Linked DNA regions of Drosophila melanogaster. The protein of the gene in region 2 purifies or fractionates together with the protein of the main gene of each other region. This does not show direct contact. Each region holds a gene or a part of one and is shown on either strand. Other genes may lie near its edges. The genes, in order: CG7049, Col4a1, Tet and Plod.

Region 1 (3,859 bases), on a different chromosome or scaffold from region 2:
ACTACTGATCCAACAGAAAGATCTTTAACTTAAAAGCATTTCTTACAAGGTAATTTCAGCGCCGACTTTTATAAAAAAGCCATCGATGGCTTAGTATGTATCGATAGTAATCGATAGCTCTTTTTGCTCTTTTCTTTAAACAATTGACATTCCCAATTTTTCCTTGAGCTAAAAACTTAATAATCGACAGTTTCAGTTCAAAATGTACGGATTTAAAGTAATTCCTAATTTGTGACGTTTTTATTTAAAAAATTGTAATAGAAAAATCAGTATTGAATGAAATTTCAGTTATTCAAATGAAGCCCTATTGCCTTATTTAAATTTATGTTGTAAGATGTGTGTCCCATGGCTGAACATAAAACTGATTTGTAATTAATGTTCATATAAACTTCCCAGTAGATGACAGCCGGTTCCGCCTAATAGAGAAACGACGACTTCTCTCGTCTTCAGTTTATCCCAAGTACCAGAATGTGGAGGACTTCGCACATATGTATTACGCGAAGCGACAAGACGTACATTTCGAATGAAAGTCTTTATATTTGGTTAATTTGTTGTATTTGTAAAAATAAAAGAGTTGTGAGGAATTTCCCACGATGACAACTCACGCATTCTTGGCGCACCGAAAACCCAGGTTACCGGCTGAACTGTCTTCTGTGTTCTGCGAGCGTGCCGCGCACCTGTACCTGTAGCAGTAGGACTTGTGACACAGATAAGAACCGCCCTTCTTGACCCGATTTGGATTATCGCTAACGTCATTTACGTCCCACAGATCTGCCGTCCACTCCCAGACGTTGCCCACCATGTTGTGCAGGTCGTAAATATTCTGTCGGAAGGCATCCACGGGGCTGGTGTACTCAAACCCATCTTCAGCCAGGTTGCCATCGGGAAAGTCTCCCTGCCAGATGTTCAGCCAATGTTCATTCCTTGGCATCAGCTTGTTGCCCCAGGGAAACAGTTTGCGCTCCTTGCCGCCCCTGCAAGCCGCCTCCCACTCCGCCTCGCTGGGCAACCGCTTGCCGGCCCACTTACAGTACTCCACAGCGTCGCGCCACGATACGTGCACTACCGGGTGTCGGCCTAAGTGGTCTATATCGCTGTCCACGCCATTTGGATGTCGCCAGTTCACGCCGGCCACTTTGTACCACCAGACAGCGCTCGCCACTCGGAAGTCCTCTAGGTTCTTCTGCTCCAATGGGCTCAAAAGGCTCTTAAACAGAAAACTGTCGCCATATCGCTCAGCCTCCGTGGTGTAGTTAGTGTGCAGAACAAACTTCGCAAAGGCTTCGTTGGAAACCTCATACTTGTCGATGTAGAAGTCATTCAGCTTCACCTGCCGTTCCGGAGCCTCGCGGTCGGCCGGAAAGTGCGGTTTGTCAGTACCCATGTAAACCGTGCCTCCCGGAAGCAGTGACATGTCCGCAATATTTGGCTCCAGTTCGCCATAGTAATCCCGGTAGTGGCTGTGTGCACCCTGTGCTCGTTGCTGGCACACTTGTCCGGAAATGGACGGCATATCCGGGGCCTTCCGGTCGAGCTTTTGGCAGCCACAGTCGCTGGATACGTCATTGAATAAAACTATCCAAATAAAGAGGACTAATATAATTGTTGTCATCTTAACGTGCAGTGTGGCCCTTTTTAGTTTTGGAATCAATACTTAATTTCGCGAATTTAAATTCCGAACAAGCCAGCTTTTTAATAGCATACTTTAGGCTGTAACGTTTTAAACAATTTATTTCAATTTCAACAACCATACTTTTGGGATTATTATTATTATTATAACCATTTAGTAGTAGTTAGAAGGTTAATGAGTGCAGTTTTACCATTTTAATAATATATAACCTACAATATTTAGGTTTTATAAAAAGTTATGTATATGAGCTAATTATAATTTATCAAAGTCTGGTCTTTATGTTAACTTTCGTTTGTATTTGTTATAAATTCTTCAATCATGAACAAATTTTTGGGAACGGAAGACCTACAAATGCAAAGACCAGAAACATTAAAAAACGTTAAGTATAAGTTAAATAAGTTTAAATTGTTGTATGGCGCAAATCGGTCTTAACAAGTTGTGATACACAGCAATCCTAAAAGCTGCGGGCTATGCCTCGATAGGCTTCTCGTGCAGCCAGGGCCGGAATATGGGTAGTGTGGACGGATAGTGGGTGTGCGTGTCCGGCTTAAGCACCGATTCCGGCCAGGTGTTGGCATTGACCGCATCACCGGAGTGTCGAAAGGGGTACGTCGCAAGCACGATAGGAAGCTGTAGCTTAATCTCCTTCTCCATGGACTTGGGTTCGATCACGAAGAAGACGTCGTAGGATATTTTGATCAGGTGGCAGCCATGAAGATTGGTCGGCGGCAGGGGTGGAACGTAAAGCTCGTTGTGCCACTCGTCTTTGGCCCCCGGACGGATCTTGCCACGAACTAAAACAGCCAGCTCCCGTTTTTCCGTTTGCACCACCTTCCCCCGCGCCAAATACTCGATGGTCTAAATAAAATCCAAATAAGATCAAAATGGATGAATTGTAACTAGCCACTTGAAAGCGATACCGACCTCAGTGAGGGATGCCTTAGTCCGTTTAATGGACACATTACTGTAGTTGGATATAAATGCGGTGACCAGAATATTCTCGCCGGGCACATACCCACCGCGATCAAGGGACACTCTGCACTTTATCTGACCTCCACCAACACAGACGACGCCTAGCTTGTGCTCAACTTCGCAGGTGAACGGTTGCTGAGTCAGGCGAAAGGTTAGTTTTTTTAAACAGGGTTTTTAAAGCTACTTACTGCTAAGATGGGCTTTTCAAGGTTTAGGTCGATGGGATTCATCACAATGAAGACCTGGTGGTTCTTATGGATAATGCCATTGTTCTCGCGGAGCGCCGCCTTGCAGTAGAACTGAATCCAGCCGTACCGACCGAGAAATGTAGATGGAAGACCCAGTGGCAAGCCGAGTTTGAAGGGGAAGCTGTGAATTCCTGGCGAGAGTATAGCTGGACCTCCTTGGTCTACGTCCCCCAGAAGTCGCATCCGAAAGTCGATATAGTTCTCCTTATCGTATGTCCGCTCCTGTCGCCGCCCGTTGCGCACGACCCCTTCGCCTACCACATGGAAATGAAGTCCCAAAGCAGGCGTCTCATCCTGCAATTCGATTAGAACCCGTCCGGAGAGAAACTGGCCCGGGAAGTACAGGAGGGAAGTGTTGTCGAAGATGATAAGGAATTTAAGCAACTTGCGCGGCATCGTGCCTCTGTTTTGTTGCCGATTTCATTCGTACGCCTAAGGAAAAACCAACGAAATTCGTTAGAACACGGTTGCCAAATATTTGACCCGCTCCGCACGCGTCATTATGGTTAATGACAACTTATCCGTCATAGCTGGCTAGGTCTGAGACCATGTACTACGGACTACGGTCTCACATACATACGGCGCTTGTTTGCATATTTATGTGGGTAGCATCTAGGCGGGCAAAGGAAACAAAACCAGTTTCGTACGGCCAAGAGATGGCTGCGTGCACAACTATGCAGCACGAAAGCCCCGAACACTTAAGCATCAACTGCAAGGTCGGCGCATGAAGCATGTCGGGCGTGTCACGCCCGCGCCTACAAATTTGGGCAAAACTCCAGTATGTACATCTTTACCAAAAGCGTAAGCTGCAACTGCGACTGTCGGCAAGCCTGTTTGGTGCACTGGTGACAATGTTGATGATTCCTGATTGGGAAACAGAAACCGAAAAGAAAACTGACGTAATTTCCTAGTGGAAAGCGGATTCCCAACCGTACACTGCCATTGGAATGATTACATTCAAATTGTTCAACATTTTTGTTTTTATCCACAACAGATCAATTGTTTTCTC
Region 2 (5,275 bases):
CCACATGTGGAGATCGTCTAGCGTTCGAAGTATTACTAAACACGAGTCCCGCTAAAGAAATTCGAATTCTTCGCCCGCACACTCGGCACGCTCGGCTCCACTCGTAAAAGTTCGGCCGTTCGCGATCGGCTCTCGGCCCACCAATACTATCGCAAGTGGAAGTTGCAGCAGTGTGAGTGTAGTAGGCACAGGCCAGGGACAGGCCCGGATGGATGTTTTGGATGGAGATTTGGATGGAGGTTTGGATGTAGATGTGACTCCGGGCTCTGGTTATGGTTCGGAATTTAGCACTTTGACGCCTTGAAACGAGGAAATGAGGAGCAGAGCCCTCTAACCAAATCAAAGCGGCCCGATTCTAAGCATACAAATTCTATTTCCCATTTTGGTACCGTATCCCTGAAGGGGTATGATCAATCAGATTCTCACTTTGTTCTTTTTATTAGGCACGTCTCTTGGGAAAATACAAATTATTAAATAATTTATTAATTAATGTTACTATTACTAACTATTACTAACAGGCACATACCATTTATACATAATAACCATCCGCATATAACTTAAATGATAGTTCCAACTAGCGACACACGATATTTCTTGCGGGGTAAAAGCTATTCTAATACTCAATCCCAGCTATCCTAGTGATTTCAATACAATTAGATGCTAGTTTGTTTGTCGCGCTTCTCGTGATTAGGTTAAGGCTTTTTCATTTAGTACTTACATATATGGCATATGTGAGGCTGATAAGACGGATATGGCTGAGTATTTCCTGTTAGAACGAACTACTGATCAACTGAAAACCGAACATGAGTTTTAAGCTCCAATAAGTCCGACGCAGAAAAGCCAAATGGGAACCTTTCGAAATTCGAGCCTGATTTTGGGTTTCGGGGCCACAGTGTTTTGAAATAAGTCTTGATAGGGCGGCTATAATCAAGGCCTCGTTCTAGTTGGGAAAGCTCTTTTGTTCTAGGGTACGTGCAAGTCGGATATGGCCCAGTGGCCTGAATATATGTCTTCTCAGGAAACTGCTGTGATTAGGATATTAAATGATGTCGCACTTCGGCAACTTAAAATCTTATTAATTTATGTTTAGAGCGGTATTAGTAAGTATTATGTCGTACTTACTATCAAAATGAATGGATCTCAATAATTATTATTAATTAAATAACAATAATTATTTTAAGTATGTATAAAACTTGGCACTTAAAATGAAATTTCATTTAAGATACATTTAGTTTTAATAAAGCGTAGATAGATACAAAAAAAATCGAAAAAAGACCATTCTTTGAAACAATAATTGCATCGACATACTAAAATCAATCAAACTAAAATATTTTGTTTTAGAAAAGAATGGAATGATTTGAATAATCAGTTATATATAGCAAATAAAAATATACCAAGTAAAGCTTAAAAAGAGATTTAATCTTCAAAACCTTTGTCAAATTAATTATATCAGTTTTGAAAGCTAGAGAATATTTTTAAAACTTAGAAAAGGACTATAATCCTATTAAAAGTAAAGTATATGCCAATAAAATGTTTACACATGTTTTTGTTATCCTTTAAGTTTTAGATATTTTTATCATACTTATTGTAAGTACACACAAAATTTTGATGAGGTTATAATTAGAACATTGGCCTGATAGCGAAGCCTTCGGAATTTCCCTTGCCCGAGCACCGAAAAAAGTCCAAAAAGCAGGAGCCGCAGGGGCGGACCAAAACGGAAGCCATGTGCCCGATCTCAGGGCGGGGGCTATCAGCTAATTTTGAGATGGGAGCTGGTAGCTGCGATCTGGAAGCTGGGATCTGGGAGCCGGAGAGCTGGTTGAAGGTGCTCCCGGGGAGGTGCTCCGGCGGAACGAAGCTGATGTGCTATTGAGCAACTTAAGTCGCATGTGGCATATCAACAGCAGCGACGGACTTATCGCCAAGTTTCATTCATTCCGCAGCGACTATGTTAACTTGTGGGATTAGTGTTGCTACATACGACGACCCGTCGCCCATCCGTTCTATATGCCATGGTGCCACCACCCACCTCCCACCAGCCACCTCGCAGCCATCGCAACCGATCCGATGCCCATCCAATCCCCGTCGAATCACACGGATAGTGTACATGAGCCGTAGACCCGATCGTCGAGATCGTGCCAAGCCGAACGATCGACGAGTGAAGATCGGGGCATCGGCGTTTGGCTTTTGGATCGCTCGAACTTATACTATAATTAGTCGTGTTCCGTCTCCCCGAGTAAGTAGTAGTCTGGTCTCGGTCCGGAGCTGATCTGGCCAGCTGGTTTTAGTCTTTAGTCAGCGCTGTGGAGTGGTGATCGGTTCGGATCGGATCGCTCGGTTGTGAATGTGTGTTTCCATTAGGGTCCCGTCCCGTCCCGTCCAACCGTCCCTTAAATAGGATTTGATTCCTGTAAGGAACTGAGCTTTTACAACAACAAAATAATATAAACATAAAATATCTTAATTAAATCAGGAAGAACGCGTACTATTAATTGAAAATATCCAGCAAGTCGTTGTGCGAGTCTCGTACCAGTTCCAGTGCCTCTCAAACTGTCGCGTGTATATGCTTGGAAATGAAATGAAACGAAATACAAGAATTAAATCGTTGAAAAAAAATAAGCCAGCTCGATTTTCCCACAAATATTAAATAAAATAATATTCCTCTAAGAATATTTCCAATTTATTTTGCAACTGTTGCGAAATTAAAGTGCCCAATTCTCTGGCTCATCTTTCCAGGCCCAGCGACGGCAACATATAAACTTCAAATTCGACGAGGACAGAGCAAATAATTGTGCAGGCTTAAGTGCATAGGGCATCATGTTGCCCTTCTGGAAGCGGTAAGAAAAATGACAAAAGTTAGAAAAATAATACAAATGGTTGCAAAAATTTAAGTTAATCAAAGAAAGCAATTGTTAATTATTAAAAACCATGACAATAATACTTACTTAACAACTAATAATACTCTATTTAAAAATTTAAAATTTTTTTGAAATTTTTAATGATTAAAACCCAGTTATGGCCTAAAAAAGTATTGCCAATTTTTTTCTTTCTAATCCATTCAGAAAGAGCAAATATTAGTTTTTAAATTAATATTTTAGATATCAGCAATACAAAAATACATAATTTAAAACATCACATTTGTTCAATTTTTTTTTAATTTTTCGAAGCGCGATCTCTTAAAAACTTGTAAGCTCTCTCTTAAGCGCCTTTAGCAAACTCTCTTGAATTGACGGCTTAAGAGAGAGCTGCCAATCGAAGAGAGCTATGTCCAATTAAATAGCTAGACTGATAAGACGAAGCACAGTTCCTAACCCTCCTGATCTTCGTCGACTTCTTTGCAGGCTGCTATACGCCGCTGTGATCGCGGGAGCGTTAGTCGGTGCCGACGCTGTAAGATAACCGTAGCCCATGCCATCCATCTGGACATTGAATAATATACTCCTTTTCCCCGCAGCAATTTTGGAAGACGGCTGGTACGGCCGGTTCGATTCAGGACTCCGTGAAACACTACAATCGAAATGAACCCAAGTTCCCAATCGACGACAGTTACGACATTGTAGACTCTGCCGGCGTGGCGCGCGGCGATCTGCCGCCCAAGAATTGTACGGCCGGATATGCGGGCTGTGTGCCCAAGTGCATAGCGGAGAAGGGCAACCGTGGTCTGCCGGGCCCTCTTGGACCCACGGGATTGAAGGGCGAAATGGGTTTCCCTGGCATGGAGGGACCATCTGGTGACAAGGGTCAGAAGGGTGATCCCGGCCCATACGGACAGCGTGGTGATAAGGGTGAGCGCGGATCGCCTGGTCTTCATGGTCAGGCTGGTGTACCCGGAGTCCAGGGACCCGCCGGCAATCCCGGAGCCCCTGGTATCAACGGTAAAGACGGTTGCGACGGACAGGATGGTATTCCTGGCTTGGAGGGTCTATCCGGAATGCCCGGACCTCGCGGATATGCCGGCCAGCTTGGCAGCAAGGGCGAGAAGGGTGAACCGGCAAAGGAGAACGGTGATTACGCGAAGGGCGAGAAGGGTGAGCCCGGTTGGAGGGGGACTGCCGGTTTGGCTGGACCACAAGGATTTCCTGGAGAAAAGGGCGAGCGCGGCGACAGTGGACCTTACGGAGCCAAAGGACCCCGGGGTGAGCACGGTCTGAAGGGAGAGAAGGGTGCCTCCTGCTACGGACCCATGAAGCCTGGTGCACCGGGTATCAAGGGCGAGAAGGGTGAGCCCGCGTCCTCGTTTCCCGTCAAACCGACCCACACGGTGATGGGACCTCGCGGCGATATGGGACAGAAGGGAGAGCCTGGCCTAGTTGGCCGCAAGGGTGAGCCCGGACCTGAAGGCGACACTGGACTCGATGGACAGAAGGGCGAGAAGGGTCTGCCCGGCGGCCCAGGCGATCGCGTAAGTCGAGTTCATACTTAAGGCTCCAAATCGAAGTGGAAGTTGAAACCTCTATAATGAAATATATACGTACAGGGTCGCCAAGGTAACTTTGGACCCCCAGGATCTACAGGACAAAAGGGAGATCGTGGCGAGCCGGGCCTTAATGGTCTGCCCGGTAATCCCGGACAGAAGGGTGAGCCAGGACGTGCTGGAGCGACAGGTAAGCCTGGTCTGCTCGGTCCTCCGGGACCGCCAGGCGGTGGCCGTGGAACACCAGGACCCCCGGGACCCAAAGGACCCCGCGGCTATGTTGGCGCACCTGGACCCCAGGGATTAAACGGAGTTGATGGACTACCGGGTCCTCAGGGATACAATGGACAAAAGGGAGGTGCTGGTCTGCCCGGTCGCCCCGGCAACGAGGGACCTCCTGGCAAAAAGGGAGAAAAGGGAACCGCAGGACTTAATGGACCAAAGGGATCCATCGGACCCATTGGACACCCAGGACCACCGGGACCAGAGGGACAGAAGGGTGACGCCGGTTTGCCCGGTTATGGCATTCAAGGATCTAAGGGAGATGCTGGCATACCTGGGTAAGTGCAATGATTCATTTAATAGTCCTAGCACTCAGTCGAGTCCCACTGTGGAGCCGAGTCCTGTTCTTACTTTCCTTCATTAAAGATCTTATTTAATTCGAATTAATTTTCGTTCGTCCTAGTTATCCCGGACTAAAGGGTAGCAAGGGAGAGCGCGGCTTCAAGGGCAATGCTGGTGCTCCCGGTGACTCCAAGCTGGGTCGTCCTGGAACTCCCGGTGCCGCTGGTGCTCCTGGACAAAAGGGAGACGCTGGTCGTCCCGGCACTCCTGGCCAAAAGGGAGACATGGGTATCAAGG
Region 3 (4,866 bases), on a different chromosome or scaffold from region 2:
GCTCATCCTCTTCAATGTAATATTTTAATATGTTATCCGAACATTGTGCGCTTGTTTACAACTTTTGCTCATATGAGGATTGTTCAAAAGCAGTTGGGCTAAATATTTATTAACATTTTTCCCCAGCACTGCGCTATTGCGAAACTATTTTTCGGGCCATAATAAGTTTGCATATTTATGCATGTTATACAATTGCCAAATGTGCAGCGCAGCAAGTTAATGAATAAAATTCCATTCCACTTTCGGTGGGGTGCATCATTTCGGCCGGGTAGCATTTCAAGAAGCCCCACAAACTGGCAAATGGGTGGGGAAATTATTTCATTTTATGTTAATGATACGAACTAGACGGCTGAAATTGCATTCCTTGCGAAGGTGGTGGATGTACTTAATCGAGTTTATATTGTGCGGAAGGTAGCTTGAAAGTCAAGACAAATACTATGGAACGCAGGCAATTTAGTGAAAGCTGTTTATCAAGCCATCAAATGCAATAAAATTGTTTTTAGTTAAGCGACTATTCTCTGTCGGTTCTCTGTTTGAATTTCTTAAAGGCAAGTTATTACAATATTATAAATGATGGCGAATATTAATACGAAAACTTAATTTCAAGCTCTCATATAACATTTTTTCGTTCTAGCTTAGAACTTGAATGCTTAAAAATATATATAGTATCTGAAAGATATTTTCTTTAAATTCCTGACGCGAGTTAATTCGCCTGGCAGTGCCTGCTCCACATCTCGTTCCTCGTTGTGTCACGTGCAAATTGAGTTGTGCCGAAGCTTGGCGGTATTGGTGTTTGGGTGTTTGGGTGTGGGGATGGGTTGTGCGCGGAGTGGTGCGGCGGTGCAGGTGTGGATGAAATGAAACGTGCTGTGGGGCCCAATGAAGCCATGCAAGGAGTCCATGGACAGGCATACGCGGCTGAGTATTAAGCGTATATGAATGGGAGTAGGGGCACTTATGCCTCGCATTTTCACCCACATCCCAAAAAAAAAAACGCACCACCCACTTCCCGTGAGTGTGTTGAGATTTACGAGTTTGTCATTTGCCTTGCCTGCTTTCAAAGTCACGCACGTTACTGTTAACGAGTGTGTGGAGGGGGGGAGGACGGGGGCAGGGGTTATATCCTGGGTGTTGTTTATTTTTCTCTAGGTCAAAGCCTTAATTTGCCTGCGTGTCCTTTTGCCAACTTTTATTTTGGGCTGATGTGTTTTATGAATGAATCGTGGGCGGCGGAAAATTGTAAACAAAATATGGCAGCTATATATAGATTCATTGGGGGTAAGACGGTAATAAACTTGCAGGCGGCCGACAAATTGCATCCAACAGATACAGATACTGGCACGGAGATACATTCGCTGAACTTGAACTTCTTTCGCGGCCTGCGCCTCAATTTGTTTGGTTTTATTATTTATCTTTCTTTAAATTCTCTTTATTGCCATGTATCTGTATCTGTAGCTGTATCTTGTAGGAGCACAAGTATCTCCTTCTGTGTTCTTAGCTTTTCGCTTTCTGTTGTGCTTCTCGTTCCCATGTACTCTCCTTGTTTTATTTTCTGTTTTCGGCGCTTCTGTTCTGAGCGCGCCAAAAAGTATCTTGAAGATGTACGCACGTTACTGTTAGTTACGAGTATCTGTATCTTTGTATCTCTGTGTGTCGCTTTCTGGCACGTTTTCAGGGCCTCGGCTCAACTCTTCACAACCAGAAGAAGTTCAGAGCCCGCTGCTTTTTAATTTAAGTTGGCGCTAAGACAAACGCAAAATGTATCTATCAGAAACAGTTCTTCTTTTAAAAGTCATTACTCATTGCCATAAGTGTTTGCGGTCCAAAAAGAGAAGCCTCTGCCTTTACTGTAATATTATTATTTTATTTTGTTTATTTGTCTTGCACAAATAAAGCTCGCTGAAATTGCCTGCTTAGGTGATTGTGATTTTGTTTTTTGGGTCTTCTTTGAGCTTGCACTTATTGTAATTTGATCCTCGGATGACCAATAACAATTGTTATCTCTTTGTTTACATGTTTACGCTTGGAAAGTATTTCCTGTGCCCCAAATGCAAATTTCAATTGGAAATTTGTTTTTCTTTGGCTTTCGGTCGAGAGGTGAGTTTAATTGAGGGATTAGGAACAAAAGCGTAGAGTTTTATATTTGATTGGAGCTCAACATTTTTATACATTTGCTCAATTGGCTTTATTAATTGGAGTCGGTTTTATGAAAGGGATATGGCCATTCTGTTTGGTTTCTTGGAAACGTTCCTTACGATTCGTTTTCAAAGAGTTAGTTATGTTCTGTATGCGGCTATTTGTCTTTTTGTTTGATGGCTATGCTTAATTAATGAAAAAAAAAAACCATTTATTTAATTTTCTTTGGTACCACAAATAAAATGATTATATACGCAGAATAGTTATATATAGATAAAAGGTATACATAAAGCATCCCGATTTATATATACTTAAATATATGTATATTGTTAAATCCCTACTACAAACCTTAGTTGTTAATCCATGTCCTTTCACGAGTTTTTTTCCTCGGAAAATGTTGAGTACTTAGAAGCTATTGGAAATCCAAGCCAGTTTCACTATCCATTTGCCGACCGTCGTTGGACCGTTAGAAAAGCCGCGAAAAACCGCACGAAAACGAAAGTTGACAATAACAAACCGCGACGCGAAAACGGAACGAAGGGAACAAAAGAAGGAAATCGCGGAAATTGCAGGGAAACCCAGAGAACCGAGCGCGAAACTGGAGCTGCAAATTAAACCGGGACTTGGATGAAAAGCTGAAGAACTTGGAGCTGCAAGTGCGGCATCTGCGGGAGTTCTTGATTTTGTTTTGCTCTTGGATATTCTAATTCACTGGTCACATTGGTCACATTATTTGGGGCTGCCTGTTTTCGAAACTGGAACAAGTTAGTCGCGAGTCCTTGAACTCGATCACACCCACACCGAAGGGATAGTATATTCCCGAAAATCAGAATCAGAATCAGTTAGTTAGCTAGTAAGTCTCACACGCACTCGCACTCGTTTCTAGCGCTCGAACGGCGGCGGCGGTGCAAAAGTCCGTGTTTTGTAGGAAACTTTTCACCCGAAGGATACACAACAACTGAACTAACTGAACTGAAAATGAAAATGAAAATGAAGGAGCAAACATAAAATGTATCGAACAAGTTCGTGCTCGAAGCGAACAGGTTCATGTTCGCATCGAACCAATGCGGGCTCCACTCGAACTTAAGAATACAACAAGCATGACGACCGAATTCTCTTAACTAGCGGTTTTATATTGTATAATTCATTCAATACTTAAGCATTTTTAAGAAATGATTTTTAATTTATTTTTGTGCTTATTAGTCATTCGTAAAATATATTATTTTTCAGTTTGACCATCATTAAAAGATGAAGAGCAAGATTCTTTCGTTTTGAAATTTGTATTTATTTTTATGTTCCCTAAAAAGTTTTGTAAATTCTTAAATATTTAACTTCGAACTGCTGCTTGTTGCTGTTGCGCCTGCAACTTTTGGCTCGAGAGTCCTGGCACACACACACAAACACACAGCCGCACGCACACAGTTACATTTACGGCTGCATCCTCTCTCTTTCATTAACACACAAGCACACACACACACACACACAGCTGCAACAAGACACGGATACGAACATGCGGCGTTTGAAGTGCGCTTTTGTTGTTGTTGCTGCTGCTGCGCCGCTGTACAGTTGTTGTTCCAATTAAAAATTTTTTTCCCTAGTTTCGCGCTCACAATGCGAACTTGCAATCTATGTGCGCTACGAGATATTTTCTGCTGCCTTTGTTTTGATACCCTAACCAAGGAGCTTACTTAGCTTACTTAGCAATTAAGCACATTGAATTCAAGCATGCATTATATGGTAATTGGCGTATAGTTTATTGATTTATTTACAATTTTATCAGAATAGATAAGCTCGCAAAATGTGTTTCGAAATTCAGGGCATTCGCAGTTCGACCAGCCGAATAAGTTTTACTTTCCCGCTGCTGTTGCTGCGGTGCCGTGGACGTTGCTGCGGTGCTGTTGCTGCCACTGCTGCGCTGGACGCAGGACACGGAGGCAGGACCTTGTGGGCATGTGCCATATATCCTGGCATTGCACTGGCTGCCGTTGCGGGATTTTGGTACAATTTGCCTGCCATGTTTTGCCCCTTTTTTACTTTTGCGCAAAGAGCGGGGGCGGTTGATTTCATTTCACTTTTTTCTCGTGGCGGTCCTGTTGCAACCTCGTTTCATGCCAACTATTAGTGGAGCTGCCATTTTTTCGCCATTTCATAGAGAGCAATCCACGGCGGAAAATGGAAACCTTGACAGTTGCATTGTTGCCTGGCGCTGACAGAGAAAATAACAAAACAAAGCGAGTACGCGGAACGCTGCTGTCTATTTGCATTGCGTAATGGAAAATCATTCAACCTAGGGGCACAACCCTTAACCGACTTCGAATCCTCCGGAACCGAATCTCAATCTGAATCCGAATCCTCCGAACACTGACCTGTCCCATACGCAACGCATACCCATAAAATCCCTCGAGGAACCTCGAAGAAACATCTGCACAAACAACAAAATGCAGCCGGCCTTTTCTCCTCTTAGATAGTTCTTAAGTTCACGATCCGCAGACAAGTTCTTCATAGTTGGGTTTTCTGCACTCGAAGCTGCTGCAAGTCTCTCTTCGTTCTTCTGCATTCCGCTCTTTGCGTTTTTTTCTACTTTTTTCGCTCTTATTTGGCTTTTGCGTGTCCTTTGTGAGGACAGCAAAGGACATTCACACTGCAAGCAGCCACAATAAAAAGACGTGCGGCAAAGGAAACCAGAAATGTATCTGACAGTTGGTGCTGCAGAAGTATTTGAAAAATGAA
Region 4 (5,105 bases), on a different chromosome or scaffold from region 2:
ATGAGCAAGTGAAGTTTTTCCTTAGGATAGTTCAGACTCTCGATGCCCTCCAGAAACTGGTCGAAGAAGGGTACGGGTTGCGTGACCATCAGGGCTAGGGAAATCACAGGTAGGTTTGTCTCCTAGAAAATATATTGTATATTATAATATAATATAAGCATGTTTATAGGCATATTCAAAATCGCTTACTTCCAAGTCTAAAAGATTTTCCTGACACAAAAGGCAGACGCCATTAAAAGTCCTGGCCAAATAGTTGCCATATGCATTCAGATCCACTTTGCTAAGTCCATTGCCATGGATGATGGAAGGCGTTGTCATGAAATCCACGTTCTGTAGAACGCCCTGATTGCTCTCGAGATCCACTTTAAGCTTCACATCGTTCTTGGCACCATGTAGGTTTTGGAATAGGCGCGATTGTACGTCCAGCTTTAAGCCCAGCTTGGCGCGTTTGGTCTCGTCAAGGAAGATCTTTGTAAAATATAGCTGATCGTCGGCAGTGTCTTCAATTGGATCCACCAGCAGAGCGAAAACTTGTGGTGCATAACCAATGAACGCGCCCGAGTTGAGGAATCTGGAGGCCTTGCCCTCCACTTCGGGATAGTCATTGGCCAGACTTTTGTCGGGCCAGCAGTATTTCTCGGCGGAGAAGAGTATCTTGGCACCAGACTCCTTGAATTTCTCAAAGATCTCATCCAGCGTGGTGGTGATAATCACATCGTAGCTAAAAAGTACACCTTAATTATTAACAACTCCTTTGGATTTTTCATTGAATTTCAAACCTGTCTGTGAAGAGTATGATTGTTTCGGGTTCATTTTTATACGGAGCAATAGCTTCGCGCAGAAGGTTGAGCTTAAATCCGCCGCCAGGCTTTTGCATATCTCCTCCTTTCCATTCCTCTCCCAAGCCAAGGGTGGTTACCTTTAAAGATTAAATATTATTTTAAATGCTAACCAGTGATCTGATGCGTATATCTTTATCACTGACAACAAACTGGACTAACAAGCTACCTAAATCTATATATTTGTTTAATCTACAAGCTCATATTATATAAAACATATACAAAGCAACCAAAAATATGACACAAAATTTAAAAGAAATCATATCTTTTCCATTAAAGGAAACCAAATCACAAATTTCATTCATTTAGCAACGCTGCGGTATTAAATATCTTGGGTCGCACAGTTCTTTAAATACAAAAAAAAAATGTACATATATAGAAATTCAAAGCAAAGGGGGAGAGATCAGGTTCAATCCATGAAAAAAAGCCGGCTAAGCGAGCTTATCAGCACATTTTATTGTCGTGCATATATATTTTTGAACAACAAAATTTCTAAGCCGGCCGACAATACAAAAAGTGTCACCGATAAGCGAAATCTCCCATCGACTTGGTGTAGAAAGTTCTAAGCTATCAATGAATCGGGAACCCAATCCCAATGTATTGTGCTAATTACCCCCGGCGACTGCACCGAATCTCCTTGGCGTACGTGATTTCAACATGTGTGCACTATATGTTGACTACATGTTGTCGTTGCCCCCACAATGTCCAGCAGCCAATCTCGGTGTTCCACATCAGAAAATCGGACGCCAACGCCGGATGCTCGGGTAGCGGCGAATAGGCACAGATATATATAGCTACTATATTATATGCTAACCAGACATTTTAATAATACAATGTTGCCTAAGTGTGCCAAGCCGCCGGGCAAGTCTTGATTCATTTAAGACAATACAATACATACTCACATCGTCCAGTTCTAATCTGTCATAAATGCTATGTTCTAGCTTATATACCAGTTTTTATGAAAATTCTATTGTCTGAGAGTGTCGTCAAATTAGAAATTCATCAATAAAAACAATCAAAACTCATTTGCATATGAAGAGTTGTTCGCAGATGTTCTATTAAACATAAAAGTTGGCCAATTTTGTTCAGGCAGAAGTATATGCATAACTGTATTTAATGTTCTCTAATTTTTATCCCAGATGGTAGAATGTCTTTCTTGATGAACTGTCAAGTTTCAAAGTTCCAACCGCTTTATAATTCTTTTTCCGCTAACCATAATACCTAACTATAGCAGCTCATAGATATTAGATAGACAGTGTGAAACAATTTCTTGTCTCGACTTTAAAATGCTCTAATTAATACGAATCCTCACCTCAATATCGTAGACTCGTGCAGATCGAATATATCTAGTATAGCCATCGGTGGGTTCAGTGGCCACAGTGAACACTTTGATTTTGTCTGTAAATTAACATATATATGAATCAATAGTAAAGATTAATAGAAAGTAAGTCATTACTTTTGGATTATTTTTAATTAATGTAATTTAACATAAATTTAATAGTTTCTTATATTGCTCGTTGAACTTGCGTAAGCTCTACTGTATTCTAGTTTTGGGTTCTAATTAGAATACAACAAAATGATATTGTATTGTCTGAAGTCATTAAATTATAACGAATACATGTTAGACAACAAGTTCGGCTTGTTTAAAGCAGTTTAATTTCTGAATGTGTAAACGAATTTGCTGTTTGAGAACCATTTTGTATCTTTCATCTCAGATGCAGATGCATCTGAACACTTGAATCTGCATCTGCTCCGTTTTCCGAGCAATTCCAGAGTAAACGACCGCAGCATCAAAGCGAAACGAAAACAAAAGCAAATTAAAAGGCAAGGAGAGATGTGGTCGGGTGGTATATGGATCATAAACAAATTCTCTGAGATATGTACTGCACATACACAGAAAAAAGTAAGGGGAAACTACATTTCGGACTTTTTATGTTTTGAACGAGAAAAGGATGTTCTAGTTTCTTATCAAGAATGATAAGAAAAAACCAACCGCATCACATCCCTTTTTATCTCTGTGCATTTGTGTAATAAGTACGGCAGTGGAATGCACTTAAGATCGAAAAATATGAAAACATGAATGCAATATAATTTTCTATGGCTGCTGATGAACTCATTCTAGTTAGAAATTAAGAACAAACCATTCCAATTGGACTCGGCATCTCCTTGCGACGTCACGGCCAGCAGCAACAACAACAAGGCGCTTTGTTGTATTCTCATGATGCTGGAGCTAGTTGCTCTCTCTCTCTCTTACTCGCACACACAGTGAAGCACTCGCTATCGGTGGTTAAAAATTGTTATAGTGAACAGTACTTTATACTAGTTGCATTTTTTTGTGCTAAATGCTAAGGAAATCAAAACACCTTCCGCTCCACAAAATATCGGGAGTCCCACCCGCAAGAAACTCAGAAACGCGAATAACAAATGTGTGGCTGCGGCTAAGCCGTTAGAAAATATCGCCTGAAAAAAAGGGCCTAAAAAATCCACTAGTCCCAAGTCAGCTGTTGTGAAATAAGGCTTTCACACCTCTTTTTTTTTTAAATGTGTCTAGACTAAATAAAAAATAAAGTTAACAAGTTATTTTTTAAGTTAAAAAATAAAAAGTACTTCACACCGAAATTTAAATGTCAGCTAGTGTGAAATATTGCTTACAAAATGTTTTGTATTTGATGTTTCTATACTAAATTAAATATGTAAATATAATTTAAATGAATCTTTTTCCACAATTTTAATTTGTTAGTAATCTTAGTTTAAATTAAAAATATCTAATATTAAAAAATATTCCATACTTGCGAAAACCAATCTAAATGGAAAATACATCTGTTTCTTCGCCGAACTACTTTAAATTTATTTAGGAAAATATTCAGCGCGTACTGTTTTTAAATGTGGGTGTTGTTCCTAGGGTAAGTTCACATAATGTAGTATGTGGCGTGTTTATGTGTGTGTTTATGTACAATTAACTGGGCTAAAGAAGGGAAACAAAATCGCGTGTCCGTTCGGTCTGCTCGCTTCGCCGTCGCACCATATAAATTGAGCACATATATTGGGTATGTATATATTGTCTCATTGAACAGGTCGTATCAAAAATAAATGGCAGAACCCAAAACGAACTCAAACCGATCAAAGTCTTCGAAATCTTCTTCCCAGAGAGGTGGTGGTATCAGTTCCAGATGACAGACTTGCACTTGCAGTTTGGACCATAGTCTACAGCATGCCGAAGCCCTTCGAGTAGTTGATGGCCTTCATCAGGCGCTCCTCCAGCTTCTCGCGGCTGCTGTACTCGGGCAGGAGGAGAACGTTGAAGCAGGTGTGCGAGGTAGGCAACCGATCGCTATCCGGACCGTGACGCGTGATTAGCAGACGCAGGCATTTCAGGCCGCCAACCGGAACACGCGCCGATCCCGTCGTGAATTCGAGCAGCTTGTGCTTGTCCTCGCTGGGCATCGCATGCACTATGCTCCAGAAGTCCTGGATGTACTGGCTCTTCTCCGTGTAGCCGCCCTCGTACACAGTGGAGTTTTCCAGTTCCACAAAGTCGAATTCCTGCCGAAGGTTTCAGAGTTCAGCAACCGAATGAATTTCGTAATTTGAATTTAGCTACTCACACGACTGCCGCAGACCAGCATTTCAATCTCCTCTGGACGGAAGAGCAGCTTCAGTGGCGATTCGTCCGTAACCATTTCGAAGCCCTTGCGGAAAGCATTGAACTGCTGTTCGATATTCGTGTTAAGCAGGAAATCACTGTACAGGTTGACAAACAGTTCCTTGTTGTGCTGCCCCACCAGTACATCCTGGCCGTTCGGCACCAGTTCGTGTTGTACCACATCACCGAAAACATCGCTATAGCTAATCTTGAAGGTCTGTTCGAATACCTCCTCCATATCCTGGCCCTGATAGTCCAGCATGGACTTCAGACTCTTGTACAGCGCCGGACTCCAGTCGCTGAGGTCTGCGAACGTGCCGCAATAGCCTATCAACTTGCGATAGACCACCATGGGGAAGTTTACGGCCAGGGTGACGTTGTTATAGATCGCCAGGCCAATAATTATACCAATCAGAGTGAATTGCGCTCCGTTCTCAAATGGTGTGGCATTGAACCTGCATATGTATATATATATATTTATATAGTTCAACTGAACAGATTTATCCCAATTGAATACCCACCACATATTGTTGGTCTCCTCTTGCTGTATAAACATTCCAAAAGCCGGGTTAAATATCTCCTCCACGATTAGCTGGAAGAACTCTTTGGATACGCCGCCTTCA

The links.
Region 1: the proteins of Col4a1 (region 2) and CG7049 purify together in Drosophila melanogaster (affinity purification with mass spectrometry, with the first as the bait; one large-scale study listed by BioGRID). This does not show direct contact.
Region 3: the proteins of Col4a1 (region 2) and Tet purify together in Drosophila melanogaster (affinity purification with mass spectrometry, with the first as the bait; one large-scale study listed by BioGRID). This does not show direct contact.
Region 4: the proteins of Col4a1 (region 2) and Plod purify together in Drosophila melanogaster (affinity purification with mass spectrometry, with the first as the bait; one large-scale study listed by BioGRID). This does not show direct contact.

Annotation. Positions count from the first base shown.
Region 1 is NT_037436.4:174,592-178,450, forward strand, and holds CG7049 (uncharacterized protein), read right to left. Parts: upstream 1,638-3,859; 5' UTR 1,613-1,637; coding exon 602-1,612; 3' UTR 521-601; downstream 1-520. Other genes in the region: Vdup1 (vitamin D[[3]] up-regulated protein 1), read right to left, coding at 2,099-2,488, 2,555-2,737, 2,791-3,246.
Region 2 is NT_033779.5:5,027,401-5,032,675, forward strand, and holds the start of Col4a1 (collagen type IV alpha 1), read left to right. Parts: upstream 1-2,208; 5' UTR 2,209-2,346; exon of another isoform or gene 2,347-2,410; intron 2,411-2,736; 5' UTR 2,737-2,817; coding exon 2,818-2,837; intron 2,838-3,341; coding exon 3,342-3,390; intron 3,391-3,454; coding exon 3,455-4,402; intron 4,403-4,477; coding exon 4,478-4,974; intron 4,975-5,099; coding exon 5,100-5,275. UniProt on the Drosophila melanogaster protein: Collagen type IV is specific for basement membranes.
Region 3 is NT_037436.4:2,876,049-2,880,914, forward strand, and holds the start of Tet (Ten-Eleven translocation (TET) family protein), read right to left. Parts: upstream 3,111-4,866; 5' UTR 2,485-3,110; intron 1-2,484. UniProt on the Drosophila melanogaster protein: Dioxygenase that specifically demethylates DNA methylated on the 6th position of adenine (N(6)-methyladenosine) DNA.
Region 4 is NT_037436.4:11,202,754-11,207,858, forward strand, and holds the start of Plod (procollagen lysyl hydroxylase), read right to left. Parts: upstream 3,264-5,105; 5' UTR 3,203-3,263; exon of another isoform or gene 3,117-3,202; 5' UTR 3,060-3,116; coding exon 2,981-3,059; intron 2,238-2,980; coding exon 2,152-2,237; intron 920-2,151; coding exon 780-919; intron 722-779; coding exon 190-721; intron 123-189; coding exon 1-122. Other genes in the region: Ube3a (ubiquitin protein ligase E3A), read right to left, coding at 4,044-4,382, 4,445-4,937, 5,004-5,105. UniProt on the Drosophila melanogaster protein: Forms hydroxylysine residues in collagen type IV. Required for the secretion of collagen type IV (vkg) from haemocytes, fat body and follicle cells.